2 linked regions of the Tribolium castaneum genome follow. Each later gene encodes a partner of the first gene's protein in a complex. Links are inferred from orthologs where the notes say so. Each region holds a gene or a part of one and is shown in the gene's direction. Other genes may lie near its edges.

Region 1 (8,800 bases):
GTCGCGATGAGCGTAATATTTTAACGTCGTATACGTGATATTCAACATGGCGTCGTTGAAACCGACAATTTTTACCGCATCGCGTGCAATATGTGGGTGGCCGGAACGAACGAATGTGAAGAGATAAGAAACCGTAAAAATACACCGGCAGATAACGTCGTCATCGACTTTAAACACTCAATTCAAACGATTCCATCGTTCGAATTAATTCTTTCGGAATGAGTCCCGAGTTTTGCATCCTTGACATTTGGCTTAGCGCACAGGTGTTGATTGGGTATTGTTGTTGCAGTGACTTACGAGATGATCTAAATCTGTCAGATGACAGCGATGACGATCAAAAGCAATCTTCCAAGTTACCAGTAGAAAAGTAAGTGTTTGAGGTCATAGTCGAGTGTTGTAGTAACATAAGTGTGTTTCGAGCAGGATGGTTTCTCCGCTGGGTGCGACTCCGGCCGTTGGTAGTTTCTCCAAGATGGAGTATCCGCCGGAACCGGCAGATCCGGCTGGGTCTTCGTCGAGCGATTCGGGCTCGGATTCGGGATCAGAGAGCGACTCGAGCAGCGACGATTCGGCCGAAGACAACGTGACTTCGTCGAATCCGAGCAAATCAAACGTAGTACCTGCCGAAACGGGACCGTCTTCGCCGCCTCCGCCCGAAGAAAAAGACAAGAAGCGATGGAACCTTGGTTCGTATTTGGTCATCGACCAGAACAACGCCAAAGCGGACTCCGTTCTCTCACCGAAAGTACAAACGTCGCCGCTCACCTCCAGCATGCTCCCTTTGGCCGTCGACAAGAAAAAAGTTACCGAAGAGTCGGACGCCAGTGATTCGACGAAAGATCTAGACAGTGTGGTTGCCGAGGCACTGGCCTCGGCAACGGTGCCCCTCTTGTCGAGTTTCTCCGATTCGGACGATAGTGTGACGGAAAGACGCACGAAAAGACGCAAACATACCATAATACAATCAGTTACCAAAAATTCGGAAAGTGACAGTGACGATGCCGAACGGACGAAAAAACCGAAACCGGTGCGACGTGCCAGTCCTCGGACTAAATCAGTGGATTCGTGTAGTGATTCGGACAATAACAGTGCCAATATTATCAAAAAACGTCTATCACCTTTGCCTCATAAATCGCCCGAACAGTTAGTCAAACCCAAACAGAGTCGCGGACGTCCCAGAAAAATCAAACCGGCTGTGAGTGGATCCGACAAGAAACCGCGAAAAAGGGGACGACCACCAAAACCCCGACCCTCACACCCGAGCAGTTCCGACGAAGAAGACAACGTGGACAAAAGGCCGGTCCGACGGAGAACAATCTCGAAACGTGACGCTTCGAGCAGCTCCGACTCAGACTCACGGTACCGAAAGTACGAATCACCAAAGAAAATCCCAAAACCATTCGAGGACAAAATCAAAAGGCCCGCCATCAAAAACGACTCGGACGACGATTGGGGCAAGAAGAACAAGAACAAACTGAAACCAAGACAGAGGAGCGAGTCGGAAAGCTCCAAGAAGAACGACTCCCCCAAGAAGGAGGTCTTCCGGCGGAAAGGAAGAACGTCAAACCCACATCACAAAAGCGCCGCAACTCTTCCCACAACGACCGATTCGAGCGACAGCGATTCGGGCCCTTCCAAGCGCTTACAACGAAGTCTGAGTTCAAGGAGTCGCAGCCGGTCCTCGGACAGCGACACGAACATTCTAGCCAAATCCCCGGTGAATAAAGTCGAGGAGACGAAACCGATCAAAGACAAAAACAAGAGCGACACTCTACGCAAGCTGTTCACTCCGAAGCGCGACTCCGAGGGCGGCAAAGGGGGCGGCAAAGGCGGCGGCAAGGGCGGGAAAGGCGGCAAGGGCAAGGGGGGCGTCAATGTGATATTCGCCGACGGCGGAAACGAACGCTGCGTTTCGCCCGTCGAAGACGAAACAATGCCGACCATATCAAACCCAACTCTCCTATCACCAATCCCCCACAAGGAGGCCAAACCTCCACTAGCATCCCCTTGCGCCGAACCAATCAAATTCATTAAGACTGAGCCTCTCGATGACGAGAAAATCTCGATGAAAGTCAAAATCGGTCTGAATCGCATCGACTTGAACGCTGTGATTTGCCTCAAAAACAAGCTCGAAGCGCTGAAACATCCCTACTTCCGGGAGTTTGAGAAGAAGAAGCTGAGCGATAATGATAACGAAAGTAAGAAGAAGGATTCGGATTTGGCCGAATTGAAGCACAAGTCGAAGAAGCGAAAGCGGCGGAACAGTTCGAGCTCGATTTCGTCGCTGTCGACGGTCAGCAACTTGTCGCACAGTAGCAAGAAACTGGAGCATCGCAAAGATCGGGAGAATCACAAGATGAAACGGCGAAAAGACGACGAAATCTATCCCAGATCACAAAGTGATAATATCAGTCTGACGAATGCACCACCGACCAATCACGAGCGGGAAGGTAGCAGAAGTCGGCAGGTGATCTCGCCCGTCGACAAAAACAAGTCGCAAAGTACCAGGGAGTATCATTCGTACTTTGAGAAGCCCGACGAGCCCCTAGAGTGCGAAGAGAGGTAAGGAAAAAATGCACGAATTTGGGCGGTTCAGTCGATCAACGATTAAAATTCCGCGATGCTCGAATTTAGGTCAACTTGGCCTCCGAGGAATATATCTGATTCAATATTTTCCGGTGAGCGCTGGCAGTATTCAGCTGTCGTAAAGAACGTATCGAGAGGAAAAAATGACGTCTTATTCTGTCCTGAAATGATCTTTATCGTTTTCTATTTCTATATTTGGTTTATTTGCCGTATCTAATTTACGACAGGGTGAGGTGACAATGTAATTCGCCATCGAAAAAAGATTTATTTAAATTGTGCGGAATGGAGATTGTGCAAATGACATAAATAAGGTTCGTTCCTACCACAGCACAAAAAATCGAAGCAGAGTCGCCGATTAGAAATTGAAGTGATTTCACATTTAATGACTAAAAGGCGCAATTAGCAATTAATAAATTTGCGGCCGGTTTTTATTTAAGAAGATCGTAAATATCCTGTCATAATCATTCATATTAATTAAAATGATTGTCATTTATTGCATAATTGAAACTCTTTTTACAACTTGATCAAGTTTTATTATTGTCGGTTTTTAAGGGCTAAAAAGGCATCAAATCAACTATCATAGTTGCTAAAAATATTACACCAATAAAAATTCAAAACTACGAGGATATTTTTCACGATAAAACGGTTATCAGTGCGAAATTTATTGAAACACTTCACATTTCGTGAAAAATGTGATACTACCAAAATTTAATTTTTAGAAAGTGGTACAAAAAACTTTCCATAACAAAGGGACAAAATCATTTTGTCGTATTAGAATTAGAATAGAATATTAAGCTACAGAAAGCTATTACATTCTAGCACGACTTCGAAAGTGCTACGACAGGTAAGGAAATGGATTTTGTTTAGTTTTTATTATTCGATTTATTTGTTGAGACTACATTTACATATAGGAAAAATATTGAGTTTCCAGAACGGAGATATATCGCCTAGACTGTTAGATAATGTGTAATAAAATGAATATAATCGCACTTCGTAATAGCGTCTTTCGCTAATTTTTTAACTGTGATAGGCTTGATTGTGTAATGATCGACTGGGCCGTTGGTTAGTTTAGTTTAGTTTGCGTTGTAGTTTTTGTGGCTTTTTTCTGTGAAACCTATTAATGTTTGTCGTATATCAGTTCGTATGTGATTTGCAGAGCTCAAAGTCAGTACCTGAGCGATGCGACTCGTTTGAAGCACTTAGCTGATAAAGAGACTGATACAACAAAACAGTGTATGCTGTACCTGGAGGCTGTACTTTTCTTCTTACTAACGGGCAACGCCATGGAACTCACAAGGGTTACAGAAAACGCCTGTTTCACAATGTATAAAGACACATTATCGTTAATAAGGTAACTACGTTAATAATTTAACGAGAAAGCGGTGACTCATGTAACCATTTTAGGTACATCACTTCGAAATTTCGAAGTCAACATAACGCGTCTTCGAAGCACAACAAGCTCGCTGTGTTAAGGTAATTTCAAATAAACACACCTACCAATTACGGTATTGACTGACGATTTTTGCAGTTATCGGTGCCAAGCGCTTCTTTATTATAAACTATTCAAGATGAAGAAGCACGAAGCGAAGGACTACCAGAAGGTCCTCAGCGAATATTTCAACAACAAGGTCAGTAATTAACAATCTTGCGGAAACAAAACGCCAATTAAAAACGAAAATTGAATCAAAACTCCACAGAATAGGCACGTTTATTTTAGCCAAAAAGACCTCCAAAGCCCCAAATAAAACATTTAAAAATCGGCACCAAACGTGCCCTCTCTTTTCAATAGAGGTGGGAAAGTAATTGACAATTACGCAATTTAAACAATAAAAAAACAATCTTATGACCACATTTAAAGATTATATTGAATCGTCGCATGTGCCGGTGTTTTTGGAGCAAAAACGCAAAGAAAATAAATTTAAATGTTCCAAATCTTCGACGTTACGTGCCCATCTCTAATCGAAATTTGACATTTGGCTGTCATTGAATTTTCCGCAACGAAAATGATGCAAAAGGGGGAAAAATGAATGGGTGGGAATGTGGTTTCAGGCCGTTGCGATCCCCCCAGAGCAGCAGACCCAGCAAGGCCAGGGTACACCGTCGCCCATGTCACCGACGCCGTCTCCTGCCGGTTCTGTGGGTTCGGTGGGCAGCCAGTCGTCCGGCTATAGCAGTGGTGAGTTGGCGGCGAGGGGCAGCAACGTGCCGCCACCTGTTCCATCAACGCACGCACAAAGTGGGGGCGCTCACGTGTGGATTCCTCAAAATATTTACAACGCCATGTACAAGCAGAACCAGAATTTCACATATCTTCTGTCTTGTCAGGATCTGTGGGATACGGCCGATGCGCTCGTCATCAAGGGCAAACACACAGGTGGGTGGCTCGGGGAGTTGGGGGCAGTGTCGGATTGTTGAGGCAAGGGGGCCCGGATTATGTTGGTGGTTTATGTGGGCCCTGCAAACAATAATCCGACCCTGGCTGGGTGAAGGTGGGGTACATGTTGTGTTGTCGTTCCAGATTTCTTTATCGACTTGGATAGGCTGTGCAAGCCTCTGACGATGCACAGCTCGCTGATAGACCTGGTGAGGTACATTCGCGAAGGGATAAAAAGGTTGAATGAGAGTTAGAATTGACCAATGACGTTTGTAAATAAGATAAATGTATGCCAAAGAAGCACTGAGTCAATTTCAATGTCAATGGAACCAGCTTGTTACTTGGACAGAATATACACTTTTTACATTTTACCTACAGATTATATTAGAGTAGAGTTGACTTATTTAATCATTTACTTAGGGCATATTTGCCGGTTAGATTGGTTTAATGTTGACTAGAACAATTGAGTGATCCTACATATTATATGACTTTTGATGTCGTTTCTAGTTAACTGACTTAGGGTGCAGTACTATAATAATATTTTTACAATGATAGGAAATTCCACGTACATAGTGTATATTTTTTTGTAAATACTGTATGCTAAAGTTATATATTTACTACATCTGCTATATTTGTACAACGCTAATCTAGAGGCCTAGTGAATCAAACTTTGCATCTCACGTGGTTGTGGATGTTAAATTAATAAATATTAGTCATTGTTATTTTTGCATATATATTGTAGGCTAAGTGTGCATATGTAACATGTATGTAAATCTTGTATCATATTTTATAAATTTTAAATTATTTTATTTGTATCGTAAGTATTTTCATTAAGGCCATTTACAAAACAAAATCAAATTGATATGTATAATTTTGTACCTATAATTGTTGTTGCATTATTTATCAATGCTGGCAGAAAATCTTAAAGCTTAGTTTTCTTCCAGAGTGATCGACGTATTAGCACTCATCACTAAGTAAAGTTTCACTATGACGTGACTTTTTTTCCTCAAACTCCTACTCATCCAGTTTTATCAAAGCTGAAGGTTGATCTCAAAACTTTAACACGTTTTACGATACTGAATTGTAGTGAAAATTTACTTAAATGTGCAGAACAAAGTTTGGTTACAAACTTGAAACTCCCTTTGCACATTGTTGATTTATGTGGTGCTATATTTATTGCAATCTTTTCTGATGATCTCTCGAATCAAAGGTCGAAATTTGAAACAAAACGCGGAGATTTATTCAATCAGATGTCCTTGGCGGCAGGTTATGCAGAAAAGGTTGTTTCTTTTTTAATTATTTATCTTCTCTTAATTGTTTTGCCGTATCATTATGGTCAGAAATGGTAAATTTGGCTGTTTGGGACCAATGGAAGAAAAATCTCTGAATGTGTATACGATTGGCATAGATCACAATTTTTGATATTAATTCGTAAATCTCAATTTTTGCCTTCCATTCAGTTGATTTTTTGTTTTTTATTTGCGTTTAAATGTTGCTGTTTTAGTGAAATTGGTTTTTATGTAAATTAGTTATTTATTCTTTTAACGAAATTTGGCCTCTGCATTTTGACCATGTTATCACAATCTGGACATATCGACTGACAGAATGATTGTTTTTTTCTCTTTTTTTTTGTTTGAAATATATTAATTTATTTTATATTTATTTTCGTTTTTTATTGTTTCATGTAACCAAACTTGGTCTGTTACAGTTGCAATAGAAATATGAACTCATAGAACTCCAAAGTAAACTTAAAGTGACCTTGTCTAGATCATAAATAAAATGAATACATCAGTACCTTGTACATATTTATACATAAAAATTTAACATCAGTTATACTTTTGAGGTGATGTGTAACAAAAGGACCCAACTTTTTTTTCAAATATATTATTACAGCATACAAATTTCTTCCGTACAAACCTAACTGTCCGTAATTATCCCATTGCACTGAAAATGATTTAAATATAACATTTATTATTACTCTATTTACAAAACAAAAAAAAATACAAAATCTTTAATCACAATTCTCATTTTGTTGCCGTGAGGCCGCTTCCTCCCCCTTGCACGTGCCCTGCGCCTCCGCGGTGGCCTTCTTCTTCCACTTCCCTCCACCATAGGGCGCATGCCTCCTCTTCAAGTTGGAGGTTCCGTCCTCCTCCACCTCAAACTCCATATTGAGGTCATCTCTGATAATTTTCAAGAGTGTTGTTCTGGGCAATCCCAACAACTTCGACCTTTCCCTCAGCGATAAATCCGGAGCCTCTTTCAAGGACGCTCTCACGTACGGCACGTGCATAAGCCTTGACAGTGGTCTTCCACATTTTTCCCGATCCTCAACGTTTCCCACACTGAATAATTTCCTCTCCCAGCTCAAGAACGTCGTCCTGTTGGGAGGTGCAGTGTTGAATCTCGCCAAGAAATTGGAGTTAATATCTTTCCATGTTTGGTTATTGTACTCCTTCTCGTGGACCCAAACTGCAGCTACGATCTTCTGCTCGTGAGTGTATCTCGACGAATCGGACGTTTCGGCTTCATCATCACTCATTTTAGGGACAGAGGGTCCGCGATGACATTATTTCAGAACAGCTGTAGATACTACGTTCCAAGTTTATGGATTTTGGTGCGTAGGGGAAATGACGAGACAGAAAATACAGAAGACGCGAAATGCGAAAGACGTGAATTCAGGAAAATAAACATTTACTAAAATTGTGTACGATTATTTATTAAACACCCGCAAACATTTTTTGTCCCCACAAGCTAATTTTTGTGCCATTTTTTGCTCCCCCATATATTTTTTGTGCCATTTTTTGCTCCCCCAGATATTTTTTGTGCCATTTTTTGCTCCCTCGGAAATTTTTTGTGCCATTTTTTGCTCCCCCAAATATTTTTTATGCCATTTTTTGCTCCCTCGGTAATTTTTTGTGCCATTTTTTGCTCCCTTGGAAATTTTTTGTGCCATTTTTTGCTCCCCCAGATATTTTTTGTGCCATTTTTTTGCTCCCCCAAATATTTCTTGTGCCATTTTTTGCTCCCTCGAATTTTTTTTGTGCCATTTTTTGCTCCCTCGGAAATTTTTTGTGCCATTTTTTGCTCCCTCGGAAATTTTTTGTGCCATTTTTTGCTCCCCCAAATATTTTTTATGCCATTTTTTGCTCCCTCGGAAATTTTTTGTGCCATTTTTTGCTCCCTTGGAAATTTTTTGTGCCATTTTTTGCTCCCTTAGATATTTTTTGTGCCATTTTTTGCTCCTTCAGATATTTTTTGTGCGATTTTTTGCTCCCGCATGCTATTTTTTGTGCTATTTTTTGCTCCCGCAAGTTATTTTTTGTGCCTTTTTTTGTGACCTAAATATTTCCACAAAAAATTCAACAAAAAATAATTCGTAAATTTTAAACTTTTGAAATTTTATGTAAATTTTCTCTAATTTTGTTTCAAAAAAAATTTTTTTTGTACCATTTTTTGCTCCCCCAGATATTTTTTGTGCCATTTTTTGCTCTCTTGGAAATTTTTTGTGCCATTTTTTGCTCCCCCAGATATTTTTTGTGCCATTTTTTTCTCCCCCAAATATTTTTTGTGCCATTTTTTGCTCCCTCGAAATTTTTTTGTGCCATTTTTTGCTCCCTCGGAAATTTTTTGTGCCATTTTTTGCTCCCTCGGAAATTTTTTGTGCCATTTTTTGCTCCCCCAAATATTTTTTATGCCATTTTTTGCTCCCTCGGAAATTTTTTGTGACATTTTTTGCTCCCTTGGAAATTTTTTGTGCCATTTTTTGCTCCCTTAGATATTTTTTGTGTCATTTTTTGCTCCTTCAGATATTTTTTGTGCGATTTTTTGCTCCCGCAT
Region 2 (9,243 bases), on another chromosome or scaffold:
ACTGTCTTCTTCCATCTTATCTTCGATTCTAATATCATTGGTATCTTCTTCAGGTATATCAATTTCTAGTTTTCCTTCGGGACTAGGTTCGTCGTCTACGTCGATTTGTACATCTTCATCCGGTTTTTCGTTCTCCGTGTCTTCGTTTTTAATACTAGCGTCCATGCTGGACTCTTCAAATAAAACAGACGGCAAGGTCTTCATTTCTTCCAAGTTGGGGCCGTAGTCTATAAATTCTGTCTTCACGTTGTCGGACTCTGACACCGCTTCCATCAACATGTTTTCGGGAGATTCAAAGGAATCCTCAAAGTCGGATTCAGAATTTTTCTAAATAAAAAAAAAAATATTAAAAATTATAATCTGCCGAAATTGGCTATTTTTGGTTTCTAGCCAGTTTTTTTGGCATAAAGTACCCACTATTTTAATGAATTTCAAGTCCTAAATTCTTTCAAAGATTTTTTAATTTTTTTCTGATTCTGTTTTAAATATTTCTGAAATAACTTGTGTCATTAATTCAGTATATTTTATATTTTTTTGTCATAAACATGCCTTTGTTACCATTTTGTTATGTTCTTTGTTTTTTTCCCATCAAGTTTAATCAGTGTTGCTTGTTTTATTTTTTAATTCTCCTTTTTTCATTTATTCAATTTTCATAAAAATAAGTATTTCGTCATAAATGTGTTATGCATCAAATTAATAACACTCCATTGAAAGTTTAAGTAAGAGAAGTATTTTTATTTCTTATTAGTTATTATGTATTTCACATTAGCACCGCCTGTATAATTTTAACGAATACCTAATACTATTTTAATGATATGCCAGCCATCTATTATTAAAAAATAAATCTTTATTAATCAAACAAATTTACTAAATAGTTCATAACTTAAAAGAATAAGAAACCAAACACCGGTTTTTTCCTTCATAAAATTAACCACGTGATTAAGAAACATTTAATCTTCAGAAATAGCAAACATGGGACGAATTCTGCTATGAAGCATTTTTTTCAATAGAAAATATTTATCAATTTTGTAATTTTTAACTAAAATTACATTTTCAGTGGTGGTGATAAAAAATAAATAATTTTAGCTCCTTTTAAGCTGTTTAGAAACAATTAGTCATAAATAGTGGCAAAATAGTTACGTATTTTTTTGTTTTTAATAACACCGTACCCTTAATTGCGCATATGATTTAATTGGAGGTATGTCCATATGCAAGTTGCAGCAACTGTCCTCAAAAATCGCCTCAACTGGTGTTTTACATTCTACATCCGCTCTCTTCTTACCGCACGGCCTGAATAATACTTGATTTTGATCCTACAATTTCAACACTTAAATGAAACATTACAGTAATAAAATAAATTACTTCTAAAATATGTTTCCTGCAATGTCTAGCCAGAGGCAGAGTTCTCTCCCCACACTTGACCCCACCTTCTGTAAACAAACACCGCGAGTAACCTGGCGCTTTGGAGAACATGCCATCTGTAATCTAATTTTATTTTTAATAAAAAAAAAATGTAAATAATTCGAATATGAACCTTAGCGCGTGAATCATGCTCTCTTTTATGAAGTATCGCTTCAACTCCGTGCGGTTTGTGGTACTTATTTAGCGCTTTGAGTTTTTTGTAAAGCCGCTGTTCTTTGGGATTTTCACGGATCTGGTTATAAATATTGCCTAAAAAACGAAACGAATTCAAATGAACTGGACGTAATTATTGTGATGTAATCTCACAGCAAGTTTCCTTTTCCCTCCTTAAATTATAAACATATTTTCTTTTGCATTCCTTAAAGACATGCTGCAAATGACGATATTGCTCAATGTATAACGACTGAAGCTTGATTAACTTTTCTCTCGTAATTGAACTGATTTCTTCAGCTGTGTACACATTCGCGTGCCTTCAAATACAAAAATTAGTCTCAAAAATAAAAAATTGCCACCTCACTTTAAAACGTCCTCCTGGTCTGAATCAACACTTTCGTTATCGGAACTGTCATTCTGTGCATCATGCCACACTGACGCGAACGTTGAAGCCTCAACATCGCTATCAGACTCACTACAGAAGTCCAAAACGTTGTTACAAGTGGAGTTATACAAGGCATTGGCGTCAATATCACCTAACACATTAATTTGTATTTGGAAAATTAATTTGAAAAAAAGGGTGGCTTACGGAACGGGTCCAAGCACTTGGTGCTCTTGGCTTCAGCCTCCTCCAGAAGGGCCCTCTCTGCCTCCTCTCCACTACCAGAAGTTGCCCGATTTCTGGGCTTCTTCAAGTAATGTCCCAACGAATATATCAGGACTTCTGCGGTTTGTGGCGGCTGAAGCCTCGAGTTCTGCCTGTTTTTCTCAAGTGTGACTTTAACTGCGTGATCGTTACAGTAGCCGCAGTCTTTCTTTTCGATTTTGGGGGCTGCCAGCTGGCAGCGTTTCCCGTTACTGGCGTAAATGTACGAGCACTGTCTGTAGGGGGCTGCCTTGTCTTGGAGGATGTGTTTGAGGCAGTAATTGAACCCGTCGAGGGTGAGTTGGGTGCATTCGTACGGTTTGTATGTGCATTGCTTTTTGTTCTTGAGCTCGATTTCTAGCTCGGCTTTGAGGGCGGCGACGTCTTTTTCTGCAGTCGTTGAAGGGGCATGGTTGGTTTTGAGTTGTTTTTCCGGAAACTGCATCCTGAAAATAGTGAAAGTTTAGTTTTGCGCGTCTGGCTTTGTTATTGACAAGGTTATGTTTGTTTGGCGGTATATTTCGAACGGTGGCAGCCAATGAGCAGCCGAGCGGAAATCGACAGCCGACATCTTTACTCAAAGCCATGCTTGTTGTGCGTTTGTGGATCTAAGGGCCTTAGTGGATTTCTGTGATAATTTCAGGGATTAGTTTAGGGATAATTTGCGTTTTTTCGGGAGTGTTGCGGTTTTCGAGTGTGTGGGTGGTTTTGGTGTTTGTTTTGTGGAAGTCGTGGGCTTGCTTACCGCGGTTGGTCGGCCATCTCTGAGTGAAATAACATCAAATTCCAACAACTTTGTGTATGTATATTTTAATTTGTTAAAGAACTACCTCTTTCGCGCGAAAAACTTTCCAAAAGCGTTTAGTAAACTTTAAGTAATAATTCGTGATCAATTCGAGACTTGCAACCGGAGATTTGCCCGTGAAAAGCCGACCCGATTTGCACCAGTGCCACTTCTAGGAAAACCCACATCGTAGTGACGCAACGGAAACCCTTGAAGCCGATTTTCTGGACAAAAGTGTAGTTAATGTGACTAAATTTCGCGACAATGCGCCCCCATTTGCCCCAATAAGACCAGCAAATGACCTGGAATAGCCTGATTTCGAGCCGTAGCGACACTTGCCTTGCTGTTATCGCGAGTCGTGTCGAGTGCAGTAAATGGCTAATAACAGCGATAGATGGTACTTCACGAAAGAGCAATTGGACGCTACGCCCTCGAGGAAATGCGGATATGATAGCTACAAGGAGCTGTCCTACAGGCAGCAGACTGCCAATTTCATCCAGGACATGGGACAGAGGCTCAAAGTGTATCCTTGCCGCATGCTTGCATTTAACACGTAGATAGCGCGAATTTCAGCCCCCTGGCGCCCCACGACCCTTGTTTTAGGTCATTGTGGAGCTATTGCGCCATGTTTCGTAAGTGACGTAGATAGCCCCCTCTACTGCGCATATTTGACGTTTCATGCAAATGCGATAAAGCGGCGTTCACACGACACGTGTGTTAAACGCACCGTTATTTTTATGCTTTTCAGGATTATTTCAACGTATTCTTTTCCAGAAAATTTATTATTTAACTCTTCTCTACGTTTGTTGTAGGTCAGCGGTTTTATTCATTTTTTTATTTTCTCTTTGAAGCAATTTTTCAATTTTTGTAGTAGTTTTGTCATTCTTATGCAACAATTTCATTTGCGATTTGTATGATGTAAAATAATTGTAATCTTTCACAAGAGTAAAAAATAAAATCAATTTCTTATTAAAAGATGTTTATATTTCTTGCAACTTTATTTTCAATTGATTTGATCTTGAAACTTTTCCTTTTTGTTTCAACTTGTTTTGAGTATGGTTGTGTTAAGTTTTTTTTATTATGTTCATACAAACGCACTATCTTATGCTCTTATGGATTTTTAATAATAAATTGATTTTTATTTACTTTTTAAAAATTTTAGAGCATTTCATGTCAGTGGACGTTTGAACGTTTTTTTCTATTTCTAAGTCAGAAATTTAACTTAAAATAAAATCAACATCAGTGTTTTTTATTACACAATCGCACAAATTCTTTCATATTACCACATAAACCTTACACTATGATTAATCAAAATAAAACCGACCACTGCTGACATTGCCTGAATGTCTACTGAAACGAACTGGGTCGACGAGTAATGTGGCTACAAATTTAAATTACATTTGTGCTATTGATAAGCACTACATGATTATAAAGTAAATATTTATTTACTTCGAATTTTTATGATGCACTAAACTTAATGGTGTACGTAATAATAGCCGCGGTTATTTTAAGAATTAGCTACGTGCTCGGACATATTTAAAAACGAGCCTAAGGTCGTGAAAATTTATAAAGAAAAATAATTTTTGGGGGAAATTTTAGTTACCAAAGTCTACTTATTATTTTTGGTTTTGGGGCAAGGGAAATAAATAAGTAATAAAGAATTTAAGTGTTTTATTTTGAATTTGAGTGTACGAATAATTGGAAATAGGATTTAACGATACAGGGAAATTATCTGATAAGCTACGCGGATAATTATTTTATCAGATGATGAATATAAACATTTTTGCGTCATGGATTTTTTCTAAATTTCATTGTTTAACTATGGAATGATTGGCAATACGGGGTTTGAGATAAGCATTGATCAACTGTTCAACACCAAAAAGCTTAATTTGGTCTTATATGGGTTTATATTTTTTGCAAAGTATTGCGAATTTTAAACCTGTTTAAATTTTTATTGTGGGAATCTTGAAAAAATCGGACTTACAAATCTCAAAGTGGCCTTTTAGCTGTTTTTGAGCGTATTATTAGCATTTTTATTAGCAATTTCTCTGTGATCCAATTGCTTGGACTAAGAAACAGAAATAACTTACCTATAATTAGTTACCTACTTCACGTGTACAATTCTCCCAATATTTCTTGATTTTCAGTTCCTGTAGATATTTCGTATCCTATTAATTTTCGAAAATGTTAATTACGTGGTATGATTTTAACCAAAGGCCAAAAGCACTAGTAACCTCTCACTTACACAAAAAATTGCCAATAAAAATGCATACAAAAAAATACAATACTGTTTCAGTTGAACCTTTGATAATAATCACTTGGCATTCGGGAAAATTCACTGTACACTCTGCTTCGTTTAAAAGAGAACAAATGGAGTAGAATTTATTGAACATTAAATTACATTATTCTAATTGAATTCAAAAACCTTGAATTATTTATTCTGGACCATTTCCTTAACCCAAAGCAGTTCTCAATTATGTATCAACACCGCCATCGTGTACATGCATCGGTTCTATGTATTCCACTCCTTCACACAATTCCCCTGGCACCAGATGGCGGCGGCGGCATTGTTTCTAGCCGCCAAAGTAGAAGAACAACCTAGAAAATTAGAATACGTTATTAGAGTTGCCAACATGTGCAGAAATAACCGAGATACAAATATCGATGTAAATTCGGAAAGGTAGTACTTTTCCCAAATCAAAAAACAATTCTGATTAATTGCCACTTTTAGGTATCAAACTCTGTCTCAGGACTTGGTATTTAACGAAACAGTCTTACTCCAAACGTTGGGTTTCGATGTCGCAATCGACCATCCACACACCCACGTCGTAAGATGTTGTCATCTCGTTCGTGCCAGTAAGGACTTAGCACAGAGTTCGTATTTCTTGGCCAGCAACAGGTGGGGATTTTTCGAAAAATCGATCCCACCATTATGATTTTTGGCAATTTTCTAGCTTGCATCTTACCACAATGTGCCTCCAATACAAACCGACTGTAGTAGCTTGCTTTTGCATACATTTAGCGTGTAAATGGTCGAGTTGGGAAATACCGTTGTCCACCGAAAAGAAAGAGTGGTTTCTGTACGTGGATCCAACGGTCACCGCCGAACTACTCCAACAACTCACCACCGAGTTTCTGAGTATCTTTGAAAGTTGTCCGTCACGACTCAAAGAGAAAATTATGAGTATCGGTGATAACGGAATGCATAATTGCACAGCCGCTATCACCAATTCACCTTTCGTAAGTATTTTCCTGTGGTCGGAGTTCTTTTGATTGCACCCGACCTATTGCAGGACACTGATCCGAAAAAGATCGTCAGTTCGGACCAGAAAGACCAACATCCGCATCGCACACACGAGAGTAAGACAGGTAAGAAATTACAACCAATTTTCATTTTTTTAAATTAAAATTATGTTCACGAACAAAAAAATAAGTGTTATTTGTGTTCCTAAACACATGTTTTAAGATCGTTTCAACGTGAATTTTTTCTTAAAGGTTCAGAACCGGACCCCCACAAGCACCGATCTTCCAGACCTCACGAGTCGGCAACCACCAGCCAGCAGCAGCGCGAGCGCGAATATCGCGAGAAGAAAGAACGGGAAAAACTGGCCCAGCAACAGCACGGCATGAAAGCGCCGCCCCCGGGGGCCGCCAAGCCGGCGGTGCCCCACGGCCACCACCGTCCCCCCGTGGACCCGAAGCTGAAGCAGCCGCACTCGAGGCCGTCTTCGTCGCACCCGCCCCCAGCCCGGACCGAGCCCCGAGACATCCTCCGAGAGGCCGCCAGGGACTCCCCGTTCGGGATAGCAACCAAAGACTTTAACAAAAATGAAAAAGACGTTCCGAAAACGCGCGATTATTTACTAAAACCGAATGTGGCGGCGGCGGCGGCGGCGGAAACGAACAATTATTATAACGGTGATAAGAATCGGCCGCCTCCGAATAAAGTTCCAGTTAAACATGAACAGGTTCGAAGGCACGACGAAAAGCCGTTTGTTAAGCCGGAAAGTGAAGTGAAAAGACCGCATAGTGTGCCGGGACATGATAGGAATAGTGGTTATTTAAGTAAATCGATGAACTCTACCTCGCAAAAAGTCAAATCGCCTTTAGACACATCGAAATCCGTCCTCAAACCGGGGGTGGGGCAGCCGTTGCAGCCGCCGCCGGTCAAACAGCACCACCACAACGGGAGCAGCAGTTTCAGCGTCAGGTATGGTATTGAATTTTTGATCAGTTGAAACAGTGGATGTACAGAGAAGTAATAGAAGTTTACAAAAGTTAAAAAAAAAGATTCAAAATACATAAAGATTTTAGTTTCAAAGTATCAATATATTTTCAATTTTTTTTTATTGGAACTGTAGAAAATTTTATAACACTCAAAATACAGAAAGGGTTTCTATACATACATTTTTTTTTATTAAAACCGCCAATTTTCAGTCTGTTTTTTAAGTAGAAAATTACATTTATTTTTTGTTTAATTTCATTTTAATTTAAATACAATCTTCAAAAAAATATTTGTTTTTTTTTAAATTTTGAAACAAAGTTAATAAACATGGTGATTGTACAATCGTATCTCAAATATGTATTAATAAATTTTACAAAAACCAGCGTTTATCTTTAAATAATACTATATTTTTTATCTAGGAATGTGACTTTTTTCAGAAGTTTTCTACAATTTATTAAAATTGTAATGGCATTCTCAATCAAACGATAGTGCAATGTTGTTTTGTGCAAGGATTACGTAAATAAAGTGGCTGGCGTTGAAAAGATAATATTGTTATACCATCTCCTCTATTTTTGAAATATGATCTTACTAAAATAATATGCAGATTACTTCATTTCTCCATTTTGTTGTTTTTTGGGCCCAAATTTTTGCTTGATTACGGTCATCTAGGGATGTTATTTTCTTGCTTTTTGTGTTTTATTCACTTTACTGTGCAAAAATGATGACCATTTATCATTTTATATTAAACTAAATCGAATTGATAACTGAACGCTTATTACTACCCTTTAGCGTCCCCGTTAAGGAGGAGGTGGTCAAGGAAGAAGAGAAGGTGAAAGAGGAATTGAATCCCGTCAAGAAACCTAGTCTTTTCTCGCCTGAAAAAAGTCCAATCAAATCGGAGAAAAAATCGCCGAGTCCTCTGCCAGTAAAGTCGGAACCGATGCTTTCGCCTCTTGAATCACCAACAAATGTTAGTAAAAGAGCGAGGAATTATTCGACTAGCTCTGAGCCGGAATTGCGGCCGGTTTTAAAGAAAATAGACCAAGTTGAAGGTTTTGAGAATTTGATGAGGGATTCCACCATTGGAATCAATAAACTTCACCAAATTCCCGATATCATAACTCCGATAACGGACGTGAAACGTGAAGAACCCCCGATTAGTTTTTCCAAAGAAATGAAACCCCCCGATATTATTCCACCTTTGTGTTCTGATAACAACATATCGACCTCTCAACCGATCGTTAACGGCATCGAAACAAACCCGATGCTCATCAGTAGTTTACTAAAAGAAGCACCATCAGTACCTCATCTGCCAGTGGTCGCGAATACAGCCCCGAAAACCGAACCACCCGCCGAAGTCAAAGAACATCACCACAAGAGTAAAAAGAAAAACAAGGAGAAACACAAGCATAAAGACAAGGACAAGAGCAAAGACGAGAAAGAGAAGAAGAAGAAACACAAAGATAAAGACAGGGAGAAGCACAAGCACAAAGAGAAGGTGGCCGAGCCGGCGGCCGAACCAATCAAAATCAAGATCCAGAAAGACAAGATCCAGCAAATGCCGAACCCTATCAAGATAAAAATCCCGAAAGACGTGATAAAGACTGAGGAGAATCCAGCGCCGGCGCCGCCACCAATCGGTCTCAAAATCAAGATCCCGCGCGAAATCATCAATAACTGCAATCCGGAAAGCGAGAAAAGCCGGAAACGGGAGCGGGATCGCAGTAGTCCGGCCGACGGCGGCCCCCCTGCAAAGCTCTCCCGCAGCAAGGACTCCAAACAGAACGGGAGACATTCGTATAATAAGGTAAGCGAATATAGTAAGAGTAGTGCGATGGGGGCGGTCGTTCCGCCCCCCGCCGCCCCCGCGTCCACCTATCACAGCGTGCCGCCGCCGATGTACACGCAAAACATGTACTATTATCCGCCGCATATGGGGGTGGGTCAGTATATGTATCCGGCCGAGAATCAGATGTACAATTATTATAATGGGGGATACGCGTTTCCGCCGCC

What was found.
Region 2: lilli (region 1) and CycT share a complex: the UniProt entries of both Drosophila melanogaster proteins name them as parts of the super elongation complex. The link is inferred for Tribolium castaneum from reciprocal best matches to the Drosophila melanogaster genes lilli and CycT.

Annotation. Positions count from the first base shown.
Region 1 is NC_087402.1:5,810,138-5,818,937, reverse strand, and holds the end of lilli (AF4/FMR2 family member lilli), read left to right. Parts: intron 1-289; coding exon 290-367; intron 368-423; coding exon 424-2,562; intron 2,563-3,724; coding exon 3,725-3,937; intron 3,938-3,990; coding exon 3,991-4,059; intron 4,060-4,114; coding exon 4,115-4,214; intron 4,215-4,635; coding exon 4,636-4,960; intron 4,961-5,104; coding exon 5,105-5,214; 3' UTR 5,215-6,622; downstream 6,623-8,800. UniProt on the Drosophila melanogaster protein: Has a role in transcriptional regulation. Acts in parallel with the Ras/MAPK and the PI3K/PKB pathways in the control of cell identity and cellular growth.
Region 2 is NC_087396.1:19,992,054-20,001,296, reverse strand, and holds the start of CycT (cyclin-T), read left to right. Parts: upstream 1-3,379; coding exon 3,380-3,528; intron 3,529-5,472; coding exon 5,473-5,685; intron 5,686-5,736; coding exon 5,737-5,904; intron 5,905-5,959; coding exon 5,960-6,245; intron 6,246-6,298; coding exon 6,299-6,374; intron 6,375-6,500; coding exon 6,501-7,215; intron 7,216-8,019; coding exon 8,020-9,243. Other genes in the region: dgt1 (KAT8 regulatory NSL complex subunit 2), read right to left, coding at 1-327, 1,170-1,313, 1,363-1,485, 1,535-1,671, 1,729-1,892, 1,940-2,111, 2,165-2,667, 2,967-3,001. UniProt on the Drosophila melanogaster protein: Regulatory subunit of the cyclin-dependent kinase pair (CDK9/cyclin T) complex, also called positive transcription elongation factor B (P-TEFb), which is proposed to facilitate the transition from abortive to production elongation by phosphorylating the CTD (carboxy-terminal domain) of the large subunit of RNA polymerase II (RNAP II).